Linked DNA regions of Saccharomyces cerevisiae S288C. Changing the gene in region 3 together with the main gene of any one other region gives a genetic interaction. Each region holds a gene or a part of one and is shown on either strand. Other genes may lie near its edges. The genes, in order: GPX1, TSA2, AHP1 and GPX2.

What was found.
Region 1: mutations in AHP1 (region 3) and GPX1 impair growth when combined (synthetic growth defect), as found in Saccharomyces cerevisiae (one study listed by BioGRID).
Region 2: mutations in AHP1 (region 3) and TSA2 impair growth when combined (synthetic growth defect), as found in Saccharomyces cerevisiae (one study listed by BioGRID).
Region 4: mutations in AHP1 (region 3) and GPX2 impair growth when combined (synthetic growth defect), as found in Saccharomyces cerevisiae (one study listed by BioGRID).

The regions. Positions count from the first base shown.
Region 1 is NC_001143.9:388,880-394,103, forward strand, and holds GPX1 (glutathione peroxidase GPX1), read right to left. Parts: upstream 1,005-5,224; coding exon 501-1,004; downstream 1-500. Other genes in the region: TCD2 (tRNA threonylcarbamoyladenosine dehydratase), read left to right, coding at 1-26; PAN-complex poly(A)-binding subunit PAN3, read right to left, coding at 1,361-3,400; URA6 (bifunctional uridylate/adenylate kinase), read right to left, coding at 3,647-4,261; MIN9 (Min9p), read right to left, coding at 4,267-4,494; SKA1 (Ska1p), read left to right, coding at 4,842-5,224. UniProt on the Saccharomyces cerevisiae protein: Glutathione peroxidase-like protein that protects cells from phospholipid hydroperoxides and nonphospholipid peroxides during oxidative stress. Has peroxidase activity using thioredoxin or glutathione as a reducing power. Involved in peroxisome formation.
Region 2 is NC_001136.10:1,363,306-1,369,526, forward strand, and holds TSA2 (thioredoxin peroxidase TSA2), read right to left. Parts: upstream 2,358-6,221; coding exon 1,767-2,357; downstream 1-1,766. Other genes in the region: PPN1 (endopolyphosphatase), read left to right, coding at 1-1,597; GUK1 (guanylate kinase), read right to left, coding at 2,959-3,522; bifunctional K:H/Na:H antiporter NHX1, read left to right, coding at 4,180-6,081. UniProt on the Saccharomyces cerevisiae protein: Thiol-specific peroxidase that catalyzes the reduction of hydrogen peroxide and organic hydroperoxides to water and alcohols, respectively.
Region 3 is NC_001144.5:365,505-371,461, reverse strand, and holds AHP1 (thioredoxin peroxidase AHP1), read right to left. Parts: upstream 2,682-5,957; coding exon 2,151-2,681; downstream 1-2,150. Other genes in the region: YLR112W (uncharacterized protein), read right to left, coding at 252-671; YLR111W (uncharacterized protein), read right to left, coding at 739-1,071; CCW12 (Ccw12p), read left to right, coding at 1,364-1,765; YLR108C (uncharacterized protein), read left to right, coding at 3,338-4,795. UniProt on the Saccharomyces cerevisiae protein: Thiol-specific peroxidase that catalyzes the reduction of hydrogen peroxide and organic hydroperoxides to water and alcohols, respectively.
Region 4 is NC_001134.8:703,893-709,873, reverse strand, and holds GPX2 (glutathione peroxidase GPX2), read right to left. Parts: upstream 2,347-5,981; coding exon 1,858-2,346; downstream 1-1,857. Other genes in the region: chromatin-remodeling ATPase ISW1, read left to right, coding at 1-1,724; ALG7 (UDP-N-acetylglucosamine--dolichyl-phosphate N-acetylglucosaminephosphotransferase), read left to right, coding at 3,081-4,427; YBR242W (5'-deoxynucleotidase), read right to left, coding at 4,488-5,204; VVS1 (Vvs1p), read left to right, coding at 5,819-5,981. UniProt on the Saccharomyces cerevisiae protein: Glutathione peroxidase-like protein that protects cells from phospholipid hydroperoxides and nonphospholipid peroxides during oxidative stress. Plays an important role in the oxidative stress-induced response in the presence of Ca(2+).

The DNA.
Region 1 (5,224 bases), on a different chromosome or scaffold from region 3:
AAGCTTATTACTCTCAATTCAGATGATCTTGTTCCTTTCCAACATATAAAGCATTTTCTTCCATAGAGTTACGTACTATTCCAGGAGGCTTTTCGGACTCATACCATATAGAAAACTATTTTTATGCTTCTTCATTTACTTCTACTTGTTTATGTTTATTTGTAAAATTACATTATTTAATTTCTTGAAAGTAAAAAACTTGAATTTCTGAAATAAATAAAAACTAGAGAAAAATTAACGATGAGGCATGCGACGGAAATCAATATTGAAACTTCTCAAAGCTGAACCACTGAAAGGGTTCTTTAGGACAATTTTCATTCCCTTAATCAACAAAAAATGACTAAAACCTACATATTCTTCTTAGAAAAAATACATACGCAAAACAAGATAGAAGAGCAACTGTTGATACGATAGCAAGGGTGACAGAGACTATTCAATTATATGTCTTTTATTTTCATTCTTATCACCACTTTTCCGTTTTCAACTTCGTTGACCGCAAATTAAATCTGTTCTTCTGGTGGTTGATTCAGTAATTCTTCGATTATTGGACAAAGCTCTAGTGGCCTAGTCATGCATGAAAACCTTTTAACCACCTTCCCATTTCGGTCTACCACAAACTTTTCAAAATTCCATTTTATCATTTTTATTCCAGACTTCCCGCTTACTGAATTCTTTAAGAACTTGTAGACGGGATCTTGCTTTTGCCCGTTGCAACGGATCTTATGTAGAATAGGGAAGGTTACACCATATTTATCTTGACAGAACTTATTAATCTCTTTATCCTTCTCGAACTCTTGATTTCCGAATTGACCACAGGGAAAGGCCACAATCACTAGACCATGTGATTTGTATTTTTCGTACAAGTACTCTAATTCCTTGTATTGAGGTGTGAACGCACAATGAGATGCTACATTGACTATCAAAACCACTTTGTTACGCAGGGAGTTGAAGGGGAATGGATTTCCGTTTTCATCTATTGGTGAAAAAGAATAAAATTCTTGCATCGTTACTTATAAATATTGTGTTTCTCCGCTTATATTCCTTATACGGGTTCACAATCAGAGAACCTCGCCGTGCACAATATCACCTACATGACTAAAATATATTTGTACATTACTGTGTTATATAATCACTTAATATTGTTCACCATAAGCAATCTCTGTAGTAGAGGTGAGCCCCGGCTTTAAGTTCTCTTAGATGTGGCGAACAAGGGATGAATCGCTTACCCTATAGAATTAGGGAACAGAAGGGGAAAGCAAATACGGAAAATTTTCCACATGAAGACGGTAGTGGGGTATGTCAAGGGGATACTAATGTATAATTAATATATATGTGTGTATCTACATTATTTGGTGTTGTTTTATTGGGTGATGGATCGAAAGGTGGATTCTATCAAGTCCTTCAACTCCTTATAGGATATAATAATACAGTTTAACTCATCGGGCGTTACCAACATTAACTTTTCTTGAATACCAGCGTCTAATTTGTTCAAACATCTTAGGACATGAGTTAAATCCATTATTGGTTTCCCATTCGAATCCACTTGATGGAATACGTAGTCATAAAATAGTATAATGGGGAATTTAGTCCCAGATTCGGACCAATTTATGTCTATTCTTGATTCGATTCTACCAAAAATGCAATTTAGCTTGTTGACCAGCCTAAATAATCTGCCATTTTCTAGTTCTCTTGATAAGACAGACTCCATGTATTCTGTATAGGTTTGTGACGATTCCAGGACCATGAACATCTTATCATAAAAGTGACTAGTAAGATCATGAATGCTCTTTTTGGAATCGCCGTTGTCTGATATCAGATACTTGAGTACATCCTTGAACTTATCATCGATCTGTCTCATGTCATCAATTGATTGAGGGGTTATTTCCTCCAATCGATATTCTTTAGGGGCAGTGTTGTTATTAGAGTTTTCAATATTAATGGATAGGTTAAATAATAGCTCTCCTAAATATTTGTAGTCTAGCTGTTGTTGTCCCTCTATGGTACTTCCGCCGGAAGATACTACGGTATCAGTATCATCATTGAACAAAAGGTCCATAAAATTGCAGTGTGATAACTTGATTCTCCCTGGGTCCCCAGTAATCAAAACTTTTCTCCAGTTTAATGTATTGCCAATACTCAAGTTTTGTGAATGGATAGAGTTTATTACATTGGTGAGTTGAACTAAATATATCCATAAATAATTATTCGTTATTGGAAACTTAGGGAAATTAACAAAGTGGTAATCATACAAAGATAGCGAGTTTGGGTAGTAGTCAAAGACCAAACAAATAGACAGATCACCAAATTTAGTAGTTTGAAAAATGTCCCTAAACTTTATCAAATTTGTACAATTAATTTTTGACCATATCTGATATATTTTGGATATTTTGTTTGGATTCATTGACTTATCGATGTTAGGAAGCCTCTTCAAAACGTAGGCTTTACCGTCATAATTGGAAAAAACTTTGAAGAGCGTAGTTTTATTTAAAAAATCGTTATTATTGAAGTTCAATGGAACCAAATTAAAATAATCTTGTACAATACTTGGTATAACTTTACCTGAAGAGGGGAAAACCTGCAAAATCGATAAGTTTTTCTTGGTTAAATCTTCTCTAATATTGTTTGGAATGAAAAGCTGATCTGCAGACCTTTCATTAGGCTTTAATAATGATTTCAATGATGATGGCTGTTCAGGTGCATATAGGTGATACTGTAGAAGACTGTGAGGAGGCGGATAAATACGTGGGTACTTAAGATTACTACTCTCTATGGGTGGCGGTTGCATAGGAGGTGGCACATTATTAGCCATACTCATATTGTTACTATTATCATCAGTGGCGTTTATATTTATGCCACCAGAATTTGCAATGGAGGGAAATGGAAAAGAATGTGCATTTGCATTAGTGTGAATTGAGGAGGTTGAAGACGGAGTGAAAATGGGGGCATTGAAGGGGTCGTAATTGGAACTCGAAGCGGTAGTTGGTATTGATATGCTTATATTACTATTATTGTTATTGTTATTCACTAACGAGCTATTAACTATCGGATTAATCATCGGATTAACTGTAGAAGCAGTAGCAGAGGTAGCTGCCATGGCGATATTGCCAGTAGCATTTGTAGCAGCGGAGGTGGTATTCGTCACAGTGGTTAAGGAGTCACTACCGACTGTCATCGGAGTGAAACTTGCGGATACTTTAGCATTGAACTTAGGAACTGATGTCATGGTCGGAGTTGTAGCCTCACCCACATCTATTGGAGGAGGAACGTCATTTATGGTAGTAGCGGTAGTGTTATCGCTGTGTTTGAAAGGGCAACCTTCTTTCTCCTTTTTGCAGTAGCCATAAATAGTGATATTTCTGCACGGAATATCCTTCGCCCAATCAGGATTGATTTTGTCCATGGCGTAAGATACGTCTGACTAGTCTTTTAGGCTTACCTATCATCGAAACAGTGCTCCCGCCATTGTTATTATTGCTCTTTTAATTCATAAACCAAATAATTTAGCAGTTTATTTTAAGGTTACCCTGTAAAGGTCTGATATGTAGGGGAGGGCATATAATCATTTTAATATATATGTATATATTCTTACATATATATATAATATCGCCGTAACTTATAGCGTAAACTATATAAAATACGTCTTAGTCTATAAGCTATCACGGATAGCGTCTTGGACGTCTTTGTACACATCTTCGACGGATCTGTCGCAACGAACACGGACGACTTTCGATTTGGTTTCAAAGTACTCGATGACGGGCATACTAGTCTCCTTGAAAGTGTTAAATCTCTTCTTAATGGACTCAATGTTGTCATCGCTTCTACCACTGGTCTTGCCACGCTCCAATAGTCTCTCTAACATGATATCTTCAGGGCAGTCAAAGAACAGGATGAATTTGCTTTCAACGATGTCTCTTTCAAAGGAAATGGCTTGATCCATCTTCCTAGGAAATCCGTCAATTAAGAACTTATGCTTGTTCGCCTTGACGTTATCGGAAATAGCGTTGCGTAAAAGCGCCAAAGTAATCTCTTGAGGGACAATCTGGCCCTCTTTGATGCAGTTCTTGATCAATTCCCCATATTGGGAACCTGCTCTGCCCTGCTCAGCACGTAGAAGGTCTCCGGCTGACAAATGGACAAATGAATAGTCCTTAACTAGTTTTTCACACTGAGTACCCTTGCCTGCACCGGGTCCTCCTAGAACGAAGATCACGGAAACTTGGTCAGGCGAGAAAGCTGGCTGTGATGTAGTGGCAGCTGTCATTTGTCTTATTCAAGAAATTCAACTGGTTCGTTCTTTTGATAGTTTACCGAAATAACTGATGTCACGAGTGCTAAAGTTCCTACGAGTACCAACAATTTGCCTTTGTGTTTACCCTTGCTTTGACTTTTGTTAGCGCGTGGTACGTTTACGTTGGTCTTCGAAGGTGCTGTATTGTGGAAAGTTGGTTTTTTCGAAGAATAAAATCTCAGTATAAACCTGTAGCGTGGATTCATAATATAACTAAGCTAACATAAAAACGGGAGAGGGTGTGTGCGACTAAAGGCAAAGACAGGAATGCATCGCTTTAAAAGATCACCATAACTACTTAAAAGTTTCGTTAACGTGGTGAAAAAGAAAAGAAAAAGAAAAGTGAAAAAAATAAACCTAGGGTTGAAAATATAATCAGTTAGGTGTCATGATATTGATACATTTATTTCTATAGGTCTGAGAGTACTAACTTAGGGTATATGAGGGGTGTTAAGTTGGGATGATGACGCATTAATTAAGAGTTCATTATATGAGGATATTGTATACAATGCAAGAATAGCGCCCCAATCCCGGCCAGGTATAACGTGCAAGCATGAATAAAGAAGAATTATTGGGTTTTCTACTAGATGACAGTATTGATAGCCAAAAAAGATGCGTCACGGATCAGCAGGCCTACTCTAATTGGTTAAAGAATGATAATGATGAACGTACGGCCCATGAGGAAAGCTCTTCACAAAGTACGATAGCCGCATTGAATAAGAAGAAGCAGACAGAAGCTGCTCAAGAAGATATAGAAGAACTGTTAAACGGCTTAGAAGGCATTATTGGAGGAGCCGACCCCCGTAATCTCAAGAGTAAGTCAAAGAGGAAAACCAAAAAGGGCGGATCGAAACCAAGGGAAGAAAACGTGAATACGGAGAAACATATTGTAATGCTCGAGGTAGAAGATTTTAGTGATATGAGCACCCACGAAGA
Region 2 (6,221 bases), on a different chromosome or scaffold from region 3:
TCCCGTTATTTTAATGGAAGAAACTCTGAGATGGATTAAAGAAAATCTTAGAGATAAGATTGATTTTGTCATTTGGACGGGTGATAATATCAGACATGACAATGACCGGAAACATCCAAGAACAGAAGCACAAATTTTTGATATGAACAATATCGTTGCTGATAAAATGACAGAATTATTTAGTGCTGGCAATGAAGAAGATCCAAGAGATTTTGATGTGTCTGTCATTCCAAGTCTTGGAAACAATGATGTCTTTCCACATAACATGTTTGCACTAGGACCAACTCTACAAACTAGAGAATATTATAGGATTTGGAAAAATTTTGTTCCGCAGCAGCAGCAAAGAACTTTTGATAGGAGTGCTTCATTTTTGACTGAAGTTATTCCAGGGAAGCTTGCTGTCCTGTCAATTAACACGCTGTACTTATTCAAGGCCAATCCGTTAGTTGACAATTGTAATTCAAAAAAAGAACCAGGTTACCAACTTTTACTTTGGTTCGGTTATGTATTAGAAGAACTAAGGAGTAGGGGAATGAAAGTATGGTTAAGTGGACATGTACCTCCAATCGCAAAAAATTTCGATCAGTCGTGCTACGATAAGTTCACGCTATGGACTCACGAATACAGGGATATAATCATTGGAGGATTATACGGTCACATGAATATTGACCACTTCATCCCAACGGATGGTAAAAAAGCTAGAAAATCGTTATTGAAAGCCATGGAGCAATCCACTCGTGTTCAACAAGGAGAAGACAGTAATGAAGAGGACGAAGAAACTGAATTGAATAGAATTCTGGATCACGCTATGGCGGCAAAAGAAGTTTTTTTAATGGGAGCGAAACCATCTAACAAAGAAGCATATATGAACACCGTCCGCGACACATACTATCGGAAAGTGTGGAATAAGCTGGAAAGAGTGGATGAAAAAAATGTTGAAAATGAGAAGAAAAAGAAAGAAAAGAAGGACAAAAAAAAGAAAAAGCCAATCACTAGAAAAGAGCTCATTGAACGCTATTCCATTGTGAACATAGGTGGTTCAGTCATTCCAACTTTCAATCCTTCCTTTAGGATCTGGGAATATAACATCACCGACATAGTGAATGACTCCAATTTTGCAGTTTCGGAGTATAAGCCCTGGGATGAATTTTTCGAGTCACTAAATAAGATTATGGAAGACTCTTTGCTAGAAGATGAAATGGACAGCAGTAATATCGAGGTTGGGATCAACCGCGAGAAGATGGGCGAAAAGAAAAACAAGAAGAAAAAGAAAAATGACAAGACTATGCCAATTGAGATGCCAGACAAATACGAACTCGGCCCTGCATATGTACCGCAGTTATTCACTCCGACGCGTTTCGTCCAATTCTACGCCGACTTGGAAAAAATCAATCAAGAATTACATAATTCATTTGTTGAATCTAAGGATATTTTCAGGTATGAGATAGAATATACCTCAGACGAGAAACCATACTCAATGGATTCGTTAACAGTAGGAAGTTATTTGGATCTTGCAGGCAGATTATACGAAAACAAACCTGCATGGGAAAAATACGTCGAATGGTCATTTGCGTCTTCTGGATATAAAGATGATTAAGTTAATATACACATAGAAATGCATATCATTCTTCAATTACAGTTTCTTTTTCTTTTGTTACACTATTCTTTCAAGTCAATTTCATAATAATACAAAACCATCTTTCTTATCATATATAGGGTGATGTATTTTTAATTATTTAATAGGGCCTAGCGTTATCGTGCGAAGATTAATTATTGGCATTTTTGAAATACTCCTTGGAATCTTTAACGTCAGGTTTGATGGTGGCGGCTCCTGGGGTCCAGTTGCATGGCAAAACTGTACCATTTTTGTCAGTCCACTGGAAACCTTCGACTAATCTCAAAGCTTCATTGACGTTTCTGCCAACAGATAAATCATTGATAGTGATATGTCTAATGATTCCCTTCGGGTCGATTATGAACAAACCTCTTAAAGCTATACCTTCTTTTTCAATCAAAACGCCATAGTCTCTGGATAAGGAATGATTCTTATCAGCAAGCAAAGGAACTTTAACTGGACCTAATCCACCGTCTTTTCTGGGAAGGTTGGTCCATGCCAGTAAGGAATATTCAGAGTCGGTGGAGGCAAATAAAACTTGGGCGCCCTGATCTTCGAATTTCTTGGCGGCATCGGAAAACGCAACAATCTCAGTTGGACAGACAAATGAAAAAGCCAATGGGACAAAAGCTAGAACAACGTACTTACCTTTATACTTTTCCAGTGAAATTTCCTCGAAGATACCGTCGACTACGGCGGTTTTCTTAAATGGTGGGGCTTGTTTTTGAACTTCTGCTACCATGATTGGTTTTTTACGTTCTTGTAAGGCTAATATATTCTTGAGCAAAAAACAGTAATAGTGTTCACTTTGGATATTTCAAGATAAACAATGTAAGTAGCAAAAAACAATCGAAATTACAAAATATATTCTTACAATCGTCTGCTCTAAATACGTTAATCTAAATCTCATCCATAGTTGATCCTTGATTACTCGGGTAACAAACACCTTAGCAGATGTGTAAGAGAAAGGAGAGCCTCGCCCGCTCCTAAACGACGCCAATTGTAAGGGGGGATCAGCCCTTCCAACCCCCAATGACTAAAACTTGTAAACTAGAGGGGCGCATATAGTTAAGATAATCAGATACTGGCCCAATATGATATTGTCTAGATCTTGAGGATGACCAACCAACAGATTCCTGGCCACAGTATCCGTGGTCATTGATTTTGGCACTTGGAAATTCAAGAGATGGTTCTAGTCGTCGTAGCGCTTACTAACAAAAAAAACTAGCATAAGCCCGTTGAGAACTTTTACACTATATTAATTGAATAATTGGACGTTTTGTCGCTTTGCGACAGCACTCTCCTACCAGGTACATACTTAGTAATGTCTATATAGGGCTACATCATTTTTCTGCAAAGATAAAATCCTTCAATTCCTTGTAGGCCTTGTCCAAATCATCATTGACAATAACTTTGTCATGGGCACCTGTCTCAGCATATGCCAATTCAGCTTGAGCGGCGCTTAACCTCTTGTTGATGGATTCTTCGGTCTCCGTACCTCTACCTTCTAATCTTTTTTTCAAATCCTCGACCGATGGTGGAGCAATAAACAAAAACCTGGCATTTAACTCTGGGATAGCCTTGACAGATTTGACACCCTGCATATCAATATCTAAAATACAAGTCTTACCAGATTTACTGACTTGTTTGACGGAAGCGACAGTACTACCATAGTAGTTACCGGAGAATTGCGCCCATTCAATGAATTCATTGTTCTTAATCATAGATTTGAATTCATCTACGGAGACAAAGTTATAGTCCTTACCGTTTACTTCGCCAGCTCTTGGGGTTCTAGTAGTGGATGAAACACTAAACCCGAAAGAATCTGGGTATTCAGCGAACAATTTCTTCAACAGTGTAGATTTACCTGTACCACTTGGGCCAGAAATTACGATAGGACGGGACATAACGCAAAGGTTTACTAATCTTTATCCGAAGTAAACTGTAGTTATCAACTAAAAAGAAACGCCATTGTGTATCCATTTATGCTAAATGTATTTTTTTTTTTCTTTTTTATGTGTTTCCAAGCTTTTTTTCGAAATTTGGAATGTACCGATGAGTACGGTTGCTATTAGCATCGACGCCGCCGGAAAGACGCATCACATATTTCGAGAACCGAAACTTCCTGTCGATATAACCTACACTTCAAATAGCTATCATTTCGAATCGTCGCAGTTTTGACAATCACATTTATACACTTACTGTCGTTTTTTATGTAAAGGCTGTGAAAATTTCACCTTATTAATGCTTATAGAGCAGAGTTTAGGATGAATTTTGCATTGTAGCCTGCCGTGAGCACACACAAGGAGTAGCAGAGCAGTAGTCTTGCCAAAGGATTATGACAGATGATATACCTTGCACAAACGTGATAGCAAGGAACTGCAAAAGTTGATATCGAACAATCATTATTCACGGTGTGACTTTTTCTGTTTCCGTTGCTTTTCTAGCTACTCTAAGATAAAGGGCACCCAAGATTGACAAATAGTTGTAGATTAAACATAGATTGCAAGCAGTGAAATTCAGAGGATAATCTTTTATCGCTGTCAGTACATACCATATGAAAAATGCTATCCAAGGTATTGCTGAATATAGCTTTCAAGGTGCTGTTAACCACCGCCAAGAGAGCAGTTGATCCTGACGATGATGATGAACTTCTACCTTCCCCGGATCTCCCGGGTAGCGATGACCCTATTGCAGGTGATCCTGATGTAGACTTAAACCCTGTTACAGAAGAAATGTTCTCTTCATGGGCATTGTTCATTATGTTGCTCCTATTGATCTCTGCATTGTGGTCTAGTTACTATTTAACTCAGAAACGAATTAGGGCAGTGCATGAAACTGTGCTTTCTATTTTTTATGGTATGGTTATTGGCTTGATAATAAGGATGTCCCCCGGGCATTATATTCAAGATACGGTTACTTTTAATTCATCCTACTTTTTTAATGTTCTATTGCCGCCAATTATTTTAAATAGTGGGTACGAGTTGAATCAAGTGAACTTTTTCAATAATATGTTATCTATCTTAATTTTCGCCATACCGGGCACCTTCATATCTGCTGTGGTTATTGGAATCATATTGTATATCTGGACCTTTTTAGGACTAGAGAGTATTGACATTTCATTCGCAGATGCAATGTCTGTTGGTGCTACATTATCTGCTACCGACCCTGTTACAATTCTTTCAATTTTCAATGCGTATAAAGTGGATCCTAAGCTATATACCATCATTTTTGGAGAATCACTGTTAAATGATGCCATCTCTATTGTTATGTTTGAAACCTGTCAAAAATTTCATGGTCAACCTGCAACATTTTCGTCGGTTTTTGAAGGGGCAGGCCTCTTTTTGATGACTTTCTCCGTTTCGTTGTTGATAGGCGTTCTTATAGGAATTCTTGTTGCTCTTCTGTTGAAACACACTCACATAAGGCGCTATCCTCAAATTGAGAGTTGTTTGATCTTGTTGATTGCTTATGAATCCTATTTTTTCTCCAACGGTTGCCATATGTCCGGTATCGTCTCCTTGTTATTTTGCGGAATTACTTTAAAACATTACGCCTATTATAACATGTCAAGAAGATCACAGATCACCATTAAGTATATTTTCCAACTATTGGCAAGATTATCAGAGAATTTCATCTTTATCTATCTAGGTTTAGAACTTTTTACTGAAGTAGAACTAGTCTATAAGCCACTGCTAATTATTGTGGCAGCTATTTCTATATGTGTTGCTCGTTGGTGTGCTGTGTTCCCATTGTCGCAATTTGTTAACTGGATATATAGAGTAAAGACAATCAGATCTATGAGCGGCATAACCGGAGAAAATATTTCTGTTCCCGATGAAATACCCTACAATTACCAAATGATGACATTTTGGGCAGGTTTACGTGGTGCTGTTGGTGTCGCCTTGGCGTTGGGAATTCAAGGTGAGTATAAGTTCACTTTATTGGCAACGGTCCTTGTTGTTGTTGTTTTAACAGTTATCATTTTTGGGGGCACTACTGCAGGAATGTTAGAAGTTTTAAATATTAAGACTGGTTGCATAAGTGAAGAAGATACATCTGATGACGAGTTTGATATAGAGGCTCCAAGGGCGATAAATTTATTGAACGGTAGTTCTATTCAGACAGATTTGGGCCCATATTCTGACAACAATTCTCCAGATATTTCAATTGACCAATTCGCGGTCAGCAGTAACAAGAATCTCCCCAATAACATATCCACAACTGGTGGTAATACTTTTGGAGGCCTTAATGAAACTGAGAATACTAGCCCTAACCCGGCAAGGTCTTCTATGGATAAGCGTAATTTGAGAGATAAACTGGGAACAATCTTTAATTCCGACTCACAATGGTTTCAAAATTTTGATGAACAGGTATTGAAGCCAGTATTCTTGGACAACGTTTCTCCATCCTTACAAGATTCGGCTACGCAATCACCTGCAGATTTCTCTTCCCAAAACCACTAGACTTTAAAGTGTATGGTTTCCTTGTTTCTAATATAAATATATTAATTAAGTCTTTATACATTCTCTCTTACTCAACGCCGAAGGAATACCCTTCTACACTTTATTCATTTTAAATCATGTACTGTTATATACACGCTAGT
Region 3 (5,957 bases):
AAACAAGAAAGTAATTACTACTCTTATTGTAAGATAGTATGATAATTTCGACGATAGATAATATTTGCTTTTCGTTGGCCTTTTCTTTTTTTTTTTCCTTCCTTCCCTTCGAAGATCCTCCCGTATAATAACGCCGCCAGACCATGTAGGGTAACCAGAGAATACGCCCACTCCGCTTTCGCATGTGGCACTCCTGTATGTCAAAATGCCGAATAATCTCCATCCATGACGAAGCGCTTTGAGGTGTTTAATTATATACAGGGCAAAGTCTTGGAGATAAAGAACGCTTTCCTAACAACTTGCGCTATTCCTCTTATTTCCTTCAATCGATTAAAATTAACTTTTAATCGACATTGTCTTTTAAACCAGGGCAAAGCAAAATAAAAGAAACTTAATACGTTATGCCGTAATGAAGGGCTACCAAAAACGATAATCTCAACTGTAAACAGGTACAATGCGGACCCTTTTGCCACAAAACATACATCATTCATTGCCGGAAAAAGAAAGAAGTGAAGACAGCAGTGCAGCCAGCCATGTTGCGCCAATCTAATTATAGATGCTGGTGCCCTGAGGATGTATCTGGAGCCAGCCATGGCATCATGCGCTACCGCCGGATGTAAAATCCGACACGCAAAAGAAAACCTTCGAGGTTGCGCACTTCGCCCACCCATGAACCACACGGTTAGTCCAAAAGGGGCAGTTCAGATTCCAGATGCGGGAATTAGCTTGCTGCCACCCTCACCTCACTAACGCTGCGGTGTGCGGATACTTCATGCTATTTATAGACGCGCGTGTCGGAATCAGCACGCGCAAGAACCAAATGGGAAAATCGGAATGGGTCCAGAACTGCTTTGAGTGCTGGCTATTGGCGTCTGATTTCCGTTTTGGGAATCCTTTGCCGCGCGCCCCTCTCAAAACTCCGCACAAGTCCCAGAAAGCGGGAAAGAAATAAAACGCCACCAAAAAAAAAAAAATAAAAGCCAATCCTCGAAGCGTGGGTGGTAGGCCCTGGATTATCCCGTACAAGTATTTCTCAGGAGTAAAAAAACCGTTTGTTTTGGAATTCCCCATTTCGCGGCCACCTACGCCGCTATCTTTGCAACAACTATCTGCGATAACTCAGCAAATTTTGCATATTCGTGTTGCAGTATTGCGATAATGGGAGTCTTACTTCCAACATAACGGCAGAAAGAAATGTGAGAAAATTTTGCATCCTTTGCCTCCGTTCAAGTATATAAAGTCGGCATGCTTGATAATCTTTCTTTCCATCCTACATTGTTCTAATTATTCTTATTCTCCTTTATTCTTTCCTAACATACCAAGAAATTAATCTTCTGTCATTCGCTTAAACACTATATCAATAATGCAATTTTCTACTGTCGCTTCTATCGCCGCTGTCGCCGCTGTCGCTTCTGCCGCTGCTAACGTTACCACTGCTACTGTCAGCCAAGAATCTACCACTTTGGTCACCATCACTTCTTGTGAAGACCACGTCTGTTCTGAAACTGTCTCCCCAGCTTTGGTTTCCACCGCTACCGTCACCGTCGATGACGTTATCACTCAATACACCACCTGGTGCCCATTGACCACTGAAGCCCCAAAGAACGGTACTTCTACTGCTGCTCCAGTTACCTCTACTGAAGCTCCAAAGAACACCACCTCTGCTGCTCCAACTCACTCTGTCACCTCTTACACTGGTGCTGCTGCTAAGGCTTTGCCAGCTGCTGGTGCTTTGTTGGCTGGTGCCGCTGCTTTGTTGTTGTAAACTTAGTTTATTATTATTTATACATTCTAAATTTTTTATAAACTTTTTTGGCATTTAACAAATATATAACAATTGGGATTTAGTAGAAATTCTTTTAATTTCTTCTTTTTTTTTTTAATCTATATTTATTCTTTTTCTTTAATTTTGTTCGAAACGCATATAATGTTTTTATTGATTTTGTTTCAGGTTCCTGAACCTCGCGGAGTTCCTATTTTACTGTTGTTTTTTTTCAAAACACAGGGGTACCTTGAAGTATACGCAGTGCCTCTTAGCCAAGGATAATATAAACACACTAGAACAAAAAAAAAATACTCCTTGTACAGAATCGTTTTCTATTTTGAATTTTTTTTATATAAACATGGTTTTATTGTCTATTACATAGCATCTACAAATGAGCCAAGACACTTTCGACTGAGGAAACGGTCACATCGGTACCTGGGTTGGTTTCCTTGGCAGCGTAAGTAACGATACCGTTTTCAACAACCATGGCCCATCTACCACTCCAGTAAACACCGTCACCGACGGCTAATTCGAAACCAATGGATTTGGTGAAAGCACAGCCTGGGTCGGAGGCAAACTTGATGTGTGTGGTGTCCTTAACACCTAAACTCTTAGCCCACGCTTGGTTAGCGAACGGGTTGTCAACAGTAACAACGATCACTTGGTCAACTTCCTTTTCCTTAACTAATTCATCCAAGTAGTTGATGTAACCTGGAATATGGCTGACAGTACAGGTTGGGGAGAAAGCAGCTGGAGCACCGGTAATGATAACCTTCTTGTTTTCAGAAATTAATTTGGACCATTCAACTGTTTGTGGCATCTTACAAGATTCACTGTCAGCATCACTTTGGCTGATAGCAATGTATTGGAATTTGTAGTCGCCAGCTGGGAATTTCTTGTTAACTAAGTCAGACATGTTTTGTTGTGGTTATTGGTAGTACTTGTGTTGTTCTGGTTTGTTGAAATTTCGTTATAAAGAAACGGTATATGCACAATTGGCAAGGGAGAGGAAATTGTGCTCCTTTATATAATGTTTCGTTTATGCTTTTCCCTTACATCTCGTCCTTAATTTTCCACCCCTTTATTTTTCATTTAACCTCTCAACAATATGTGAATACCGTCCGGAAGGGGTGTGGAAAAAGAAAAAGAATGATACAGAAGAAAATCAAAAGATGATATTCAACTTCATCACCAAATACTGACCTTTTTGGCCAGAGCTCCCCGTATAATTACAAATCAGAAAAAATCCGCGCTCACTACCTTAACGGAAGGAAATATTCCACATGTCGGATTAATTTTTCTCTGGTCCCATGACCATGTGCCGAAATCTTTTCAGTGACGTCAGGACCGGTTTTTCCGAGAGCCCCACAGGGGACGCCGATGATTTAGGGTTCTTTTCTTGATTACTAATAGACAACATAAGCGCAATAGATCGAGGCCAAGGTGGTGGTTTATAAATTGTATTACCTTAAAGGCTCATTATTAGCTTGAACACGAATATCCAAAGAACACGAACAACTTCAGGACGTGGATAGACAAGTGTAAAGTCACTCACACGCACGCTCATATCAGATGTCTGGCCAAAAGGGCGAGATCGTGGTTTATACAAAAGAGTTAGAAACTACCCCCGAGCTTTTACCAAACCATGAAGTTTTCAAGATTAGGATTGGCCAAAAGCTATTTGAGATCTCAGGTGCTACATTGAATTCGGATGCGCCCAATTTTTTCACCCAATTCTTCAATACGCACGATAAAAATACGATTCTATTTGTTGATAGATCGGAAGACGTGTTCATCATAATATACAGACATTTACAAGGTTATTTTCCCGATATTAAGAACGAAGTACAATTTACCTGTCTTTTCGCGGACGCATTATATTTTCAGTTACCCAAGTTAGTTAAACTCATAAAAGAATACGACTACCACTTCACTAATATTGGAGGTGTTCCCTTTAAGGTACCAAAATCATTATTCCATGAAGAAGGGAACCGGTTGAACTATTTTGAAACGATTTCTCGCATATCTTATGAGGAAATTGAGAAGTGGGAGTCAAATAAGAAGCCGGGCTTTCCACCTTTATTACCACCCTCATATATTGCAAGGTCCCCAGAATTTTTCCGAGATATATTATCTTTACTGGGCGGTTCCAAATTAGAACTGTCTGAGGAAAGAACCGCATCTCTGATAAAAGAGTGTCGTTATTACCGTCTCAACAGGTTGGAGCAGGAATTAGTGCGGGCAAAAATTATATATAATCCCTTAACTAATTGTCAAGAAGTTTGCATAGCTCTTGATAGCGTCTCCAAGAAGGGTGTAACCATTGAAAGGTTAACATCACTTCATACCGGAAACCAATCTTTAGCGGTAAGCAGTTGTCTCAATGGAACTGAGGGTGAAAAAGCCGCTACTGGATTTCATAAAACCGAGACTGATTCAGGCAACAATGATGAATATGAACCTCCAACAAAAAAGGTAAAACATTGTATTGAAAGACACTGGAGCATGTTAAAATACCAAAGGCCTTATATCGATACAGTTTCGCACGATCTTATTTTCCAATTACACTCTAACCAGTGCAAAATAATATTCAACAAAAAGAATAAGACTGTTCATGTAGACCTATCCAGAGAGGCTGCAGTGTTGTTTGAAAACAAGTTCTCGGATGTTTTATTGGAAAACCCAGATTTTAAAATTGATCTGTCCGAATATAAGGTCAAACTTCGTGACAGTCAAATGCAAGTTGAATCCCACTTAATTATTCCTGCATGTGTCTCCATTTGTGACTTGACGGTAAATGGCGCAAAATGCTGTAATATTTTCTCATTAGTTAACGACTCCAAATGTAAAGGGAGGGTCTTGGATTGCACCAATTTGAAAGTTTTGAATTGCGTTCATGGTTTGAAACTACACTTATCGAAATCCATGTGGAAGCTAGGTACAAATAATGGAAGAATCATTCTCGTTGCTGTAAAAGCCGAAACCTTCTCTGGGACGAAGGAATATTGCAAAATGATTGATTTTCTGTGAAATCTTCAATAAAAAAACCTTTCTCTTCTGTTTGACATATATAATTTAAATGGATCGTTCAGAGTATGATCGTACCATTGCATAGCTGTAACAATATTCACATTCATAAAGCACATAAGTACTAATAGCATTCTTACGCACTAAAATGAATCACGCGGTCTTCTATGTTCAACCGATAGCAAAGGCTTAGGTTCGAACGCGAGACAATTTTCTATTCGAGATGTTAGTTATCTATATCATACAGGAAGATAAAGATACACTGCTGTACGCTGGGTATCTTCAAATGTACAAGTCACGATACTTCACTCGATGATAAAAAAAAAACGAAATAAATCTCTTTGTAAAACGGTTCATCCTTATGCAGGGGAACTGCTGATCATCTCTGTATTGTTTCAAATTGACCAAATGTCCACGAAGGGTTACTTCGCGAACACATAGTTGCGAAAAAAACATTTATTTATAGTAGCCGAAAATAGTGGACGAAATACTTTTACCACTGTTCATGCCAGGCTGTGTTGAAACTGTTGCAATGAAACTCTAAAGTATCATCGATTCAGTAGTATTCATGCTACTGGTATAGTATCACATGAGGTCCAGGAAGATGACATAAAAATTGAGAAACAGTCATTAAGTCTAATGGAAGCTGAAATGCAAGGATTGATAATGTAATAGGATAATGAATTATATAAAACTAAAAGAGGAATAATCTCAATACTATTATGTAGAAATATATCGATTCCATTGTGAGCATTCCTATATCCTCGGAGAGAACATTTAGTATCTTCTATATACCTAATATTATTGCGTTTACGAACAATGGAATCCCAACAATTATCAAGTTATTCCCCCAATTCTCAGACAGTCATGGTAGCAATATAAATTCTGAAATTATATTGTGTACAAATATACGTATAGCATTTATTAGTGCTGGAGATTATAAATAACAGAACTATTATGGAGAATTATCGATCATACTTTACCGTTTAGATGTTTTATGTTGTCTTTTAATGCCGCATGCAATACTTTTTTAGATTAAACTTAAAATTAACTTGTTCTGGTAATTACTGACGGATAACAGGTACTTCTTTAAATAGGATTATGGTGCTTCAGCTATCATCAAGTTTGGTACATCCTGAACCCAATTTCACGATATTTTAATATT
Region 4 (5,981 bases), on a different chromosome or scaffold from region 3:
ATAGAATTCAAGCCATTGATGATTATAATGCTCCTGATTCTAAGAAGTTTGTTTTCTTATTAACGACACGTGCAGGTGGGTTAGGTATCAATTTAACGTCAGCAGATGTCGTTGTCTTGTATGATTCAGATTGGAACCCACAAGCAGATTTACAAGCAATGGATAGAGCGCATCGTATTGGTCAGAAGAAGCAGGTCAAGGTATTCCGTTTGGTCACAGATAACTCCGTGGAAGAGAAAATTTTAGAAAGGGCTACCCAGAAGTTAAGATTAGATCAATTAGTTATCCAGCAAAACAGGACTTCTTTGAAAAAGAAGGAAAATAAAGCAGATTCCAAAGATGCTTTATTATCCATGATTCAACATGGTGCCGCCGATGTATTCAAAAGTGGTACATCTACCGGTTCAGCTGGTACGCCGGAACCTGGTTCAGGAGAAAAAGGAGATGATATTGATCTGGACGAACTTTTACTGAAATCAGAAAACAAAACTAAGTCATTAAATGCAAAATATGAAACTTTAGGTCTTGATGATTTGCAAAAATTCAACCAAGATTCGGCCTATGAATGGAATGGTCAAGATTTCAAGAAGAAAATACAAAGGGATATTATAAGTCCGCTACTGCTCAACCCCACCAAACGTGAACGTAAGGAAAATTACTCTATTGATAATTATTATAAAGATGTTTTGAATACAGGAAGGTCCTCGACCCCATCACACCCCAGAATGCCTAAGCCTCATGTCTTCCATTCCCATCAATTACAACCTCCCCAATTGAAAGTCCTGTACGAAAAGGAAAGAATGTGGACGGCGAAGAAGACTGGTTATGTACCGACCATGGATGACGTAAAAGCAGCATATGGCGATATTTCAGATGAAGAAGAAAAGAAACAAAAATTGGAATTGTTAAAATTGTCGGTTAACAACTCGCAACCATTAACTGAAGAGGAAGAAAAGATGAAGGCTGATTGGGAGTCTGAAGGATTTACAAATTGGAATAAATTAGAATTTAGAAAATTCATCACGGTATCTGGTAAATACGGTAGGAACTCCATTCAAGCCATTGCGAGAGAATTGGCCCCTGGCAAAACACTAGAGGAAGTTCGCGCATATGCTAAGGCCTTCTGGTCTAACATTGAAAGAATTGAAGATTATGAGAAATATCTGAAAATAATTGAGAATGAAGAAGAGAAGATCAAGCGTGTCAAAATGCAACAAGAGGCTTTACGTCGGAAGTTGTCTGAGTATAAGAATCCATTCTTCGATTTGAAATTAAAACATCCTCCTTCTTCTAACAACAAAAGGACGTACTCTGAAGAAGAAGATCGTTTTATCCTTCTCATGTTATTCAAGTATGGCTTGGATAGAGATGACGTATACGAATTAGTGCGTGATGAAATTAGAGATTGTCCCCTATTCGAATTAGACTTTTACTTCAGAAGCAGGACACCTGTAGAGCTAGCCAGAAGAGGAAATACATTACTGCAATGCTTGGAAAAGGAATTTAACGCAGGGATTGTATTGGATGACGCCACTAAAGATAGAATGAAGAAAGAAGATGAAAATGGTAAAAGGATAAGGGAAGAATTTGCAGATCAGACCGCTAATGAGAAGGAGAACGTTGATGGAGTAGAGAGCAAAAAAGCGAAGATTGAGGATACGTCGAATGTTGGAACTGAACAGTTGGTAGCAGAGAAAATTCCGGAAAACGAAACCACTCATTAAACCTTCTTTTTTTATATTTCGATTTTTTTTAATATATCCTACACCATGCTTCTGAAGAAAAATATATAATCATACTAATCTATAAATGTATTATTTATTGTTCCGGATAATTGCTTGATTATAGACAAAGATATCATTTACTTAACAGGCTTTGGATTTCTTGGTCCAAGGACGATGGTTTTGTTAAGGAGGAAAATCTTTGGACAACCTTACCATTGGAATCAACTAAGAACTTTTCAAAATTCCATTTGATACCCTTGAAACCTAGTAAACCTGCTTTTTGGCTTTTCAAATAATTATAGACAGAGTCAGCATTACTTCCGTTAACATCAATCTTCTTCATAATTGGGAATGTAACGCCATAATTCAACTGGCAAAATTCCGTAATTTGTTCATCAGAGCCCGGTTCCTGCTTCCCGAACTGATTACATGGGAACCCCAAAATAACAAACCCCTTATCTTGATATTTTTTGTATAGTTCTTCCAATTCTTTATACTGCGGCGTGAAGCCGCACTTGGAGGCAACATTAACTATGAGAACTACTTTGCCTTTCAGTTGGTCAAACTTAAAAGATTCGCCTTTCTTGTCCTTGCATTCTAAATCATAAAAAGATGTGGTCATTTTGAATTATTACTTTTTGTTGCTAATTGTATTCTTGTCAAGGTCAGCCATGCAGGGAAATGCAAGTTCTCTGCGCTACATCACATATTAGCAAATAGTAGTTCTTTATATATCAAAACAATAACAAAAGTACCTGCACATTTTTTAAAGCAGGCTGGCTTAGGGGCTTTGCACTAATACGGAGACAATGGAACTAATGCCTTTCACGATATGTGTGGCAGATATTGTGGTTTTAAACTCTTTGTCATCGGAATTACTAATTGTCTAGATATGGCCGGCCGAGTAGCCTCTAAAAAATATTAAACAGTTGAAAGTAAAATTGCTTGGAAAACACTACTGAGTCGTTGGTCATTTCAAGAGACTGCATCTATCAAAAATAGTCAAGATTTGTGTACATGTTCGTCGTACATTTAGTAAGTAACGTCCGTATTTTCCTTTTTTTAGCGGATGATGAGTAAAAAATTTCTTGTGGATTTATATGTTACGAATACAAACACAGAGGTTGATGCATGAATTTTTTCTAGCTACTACCATGTGTTTAATACAATAATAGTACAGGTTTCCTTCATCTCCTGTATATGGCCCTTTCCTTTTATATTGCCTCAATCTCGAAAAATGCTTTACTAAACAGCGCGAAAATTAAATTGTTAACATGTGTATATAACTGTGAAATATGTAAATAAAAACTTTATCAAGTAGAGCAAGGCGGAGAACGGTAACAAAAAGTAGACTATATGTTGCGACTTTTTTCACTGGCACTTATCACATGCTTAATCTACTATTCCAAAAATCAGGGCCCATCTGCTCTTGTTGCGGCCGTGGGATTTGGTATAGCAGGCTATTTAGCTACAGATATGTTGATTCCACGTGTGGGCAAATCCTTCATCAAAATAGGCCTATTCGGTAAGGACTTGAGTAAACCTGGCCGTCCGGTGCTTCCAGAAACAATAGGTGCTATCCCTGCTGCAGTTTATTTATTTGTAATGTTCATTTACATTCCCTTCATTTTCTACAAGTATATGGTCATAACCACTTCAGGTGGGGGCCATCGCGATGTCTCAGTGGTTGAAGATAACGGTATGAATTCTAATATTTTTCCTCATGATAAACTATCTGAATATTTGAGCGCTATCCTATGCTTGGAAAGTACGGTCCTCTTGGGTATCGCTGATGATTTATTTGATTTACGTTGGAGACATAAGTTTTTCTTGCCTGCCATTGCAGCCATCCCACTGCTAATGGTTTATTATGTGGATTTTGGAGTTACGCATGTACTTATTCCCGGATTCATGGAACGCTGGTTGAAAAAGACTAGTGTTGATTTGGGGCTGTGGTATTATGTTTATATGGCATCGATGGCAATTTTTTGCCCCAACTCCATCAACATCCTGGCAGGTGTTAATGGTTTAGAGGTTGGCCAATGTATAGTGTTGGCCATCTTAGCGCTATTGAACGATTTGCTGTACTTCTCGATGGGGCCATTAGCCACAAGAGACTCCCATAGGTTTTCCGCTGTTTTGATTATCCCATTTTTGGGTGTATCCTTGGCGCTATGGAAATGGAATCGTTGGCCCGCCACAGTGTTTGTGGGAGATACATATTGTTATTTCGCTGGAATGGTATTCGCAGTCGTTGGTATACTGGGTCATTTTTCAAAGACGATGCTTTTGCTATTCATTCCTCAAATCGTTAATTTTATTTATTCATGTCCTCAGCTATTCAAATTGGTCCCCTGCCCGAGACATAGGTTACCTAAATTTAATGAAAAAGACGGTTTAATGTATCCATCAAGAGCAAACTTAAAAGAAGAACCGCCAAAGAGCATTTTTAAACCGATCTTGAAGTTACTATACTGTCTCCATTTGATTGACCTGGAATTTGATGAAAATAATGAGATTATTAGCACCTCTAATATGACGTTAATAAACTTGACATTAGTATGGTTTGGCCCTATGAGGGAAGACAAATTGTGCAATACAATCTTGAAGTTGCAATTCTGCATTGGAATTTTGGCTTTACTTGGAAGACACGCTATAGGCGCTATCATCTTTGGCCACGACAACCTATGGACAGTACGTTGAAGATTATGTATTGGTAGTTACTTTGTACTTTTATGACGCAAAAGTTGGTATTTATGATAATTATTTAGTTATCGATTGAGTCAAATCGGCGAAGTATTTTTGGCGCTGCACGACAAGGTCACTTGTCCAGCCCTTTACTTCGTCTGTTTTTATGCTAGCTACAGCCCCAAAGAAATCATCGAAGTTTTTCGTTCCTTTGTATTCCCTCTCGTACTCAAAACATTGTACAAGCATTTCATATTTATCGATATCTTTCACGTATCTAGCTTCCAATGAGGTGACATTTTCATAAGCCAACCAATCGTCCATAATTTCCTTTGCCGCGATCTCATTGTATGGCTTGATCAGAGCATTACATAGATATTTTATGGTTTCCCATTCCCGACGATGCTTTTCTTCCTTCCCAATAGGGTCAACTGGAGTAATATCGCCAACTAAAGATTCGGCGATATCGTGCACCAATGCGATCCGGACACATTTATCGCGGTTAACCCGCGAATCCTTGATCAGCATGGTGATTATGCTCAATCTGTACATGTGATCTGATATGCTTTCACATTCTTTAATACCGAGGTCAAGATAACCGGTTCTTCTCTGAATTTTTAATTGCTGTACCACGTTCAAAAACGCCAGGATATAGTTTGGATGGGGTTTAGAGAGCTCATTTTTAACATATTGGGGTACTTGGCTTTCAGGCTTCCATTCAGTTGTTAAACGTGTCTTTCCTGCCTCAACAGAACCAGAGCATGATTTCTTATTTGTGATCGTTGCTGTCATATTTTTTTTATGTAGGCTTTCTTTGACAATTGTTTTTTATGAGAATAAAAATAGTGCAGAAGGTTTATTAGAAATGGAAAAGGTTTGCTCCTGCGAAAAAAACCATTCAGTGGGTATTTTCAGGCTTTATAATGACCAATGGACAGAGTAAAACAGTCTAATTATGATAAAACCATATTTATAGATTAAGACTTTTCTTTTATACGTTTCAGTAATGTTTTTTTTTTTTTTAATAAACGAAATAAATTTTTAACATCAGGACCGAAAAAATGCGATGAGCTTTTAGATCGACGAAAAGTGTAAATGATTTACCTAAATATATATATATGTTAGCGAAAAAAGCTTAGCTTCTGGGCACAGTGCTCGGTACACTTTTGGTAGAGCTGTAACGAGCAATGATACGCGGTCTGTAAAACGAACTTGCTTGTGTAGTCATACGTCGTAGGCGTAATGTAAGGTTGTCCGAGAAAAGATGGGAAGTGTGAGGGATGAAATGGATTTCCCTTAAAGTTGCTTCCTGATTAAGGGAATAACAGGAGAACAAAAGTTGCTGAATATCTTTCTCTCTTGGAACAACAACAAAACACAGAGACTAAGGCATAACAAACTAAGTCATGGCTGAAACTGAAAGACTAATGCCTAACGGTGGTTCCCGCGAAACAAAACCGTTAATTACGGGCCATTTAATCTTGGGCACGATAGTTGCTTGTTTGGGGTCGATCCAGTACGGATACCACATCGCAGAGTTGAATGCGCCTCAAGAATTCTTATCGTGCT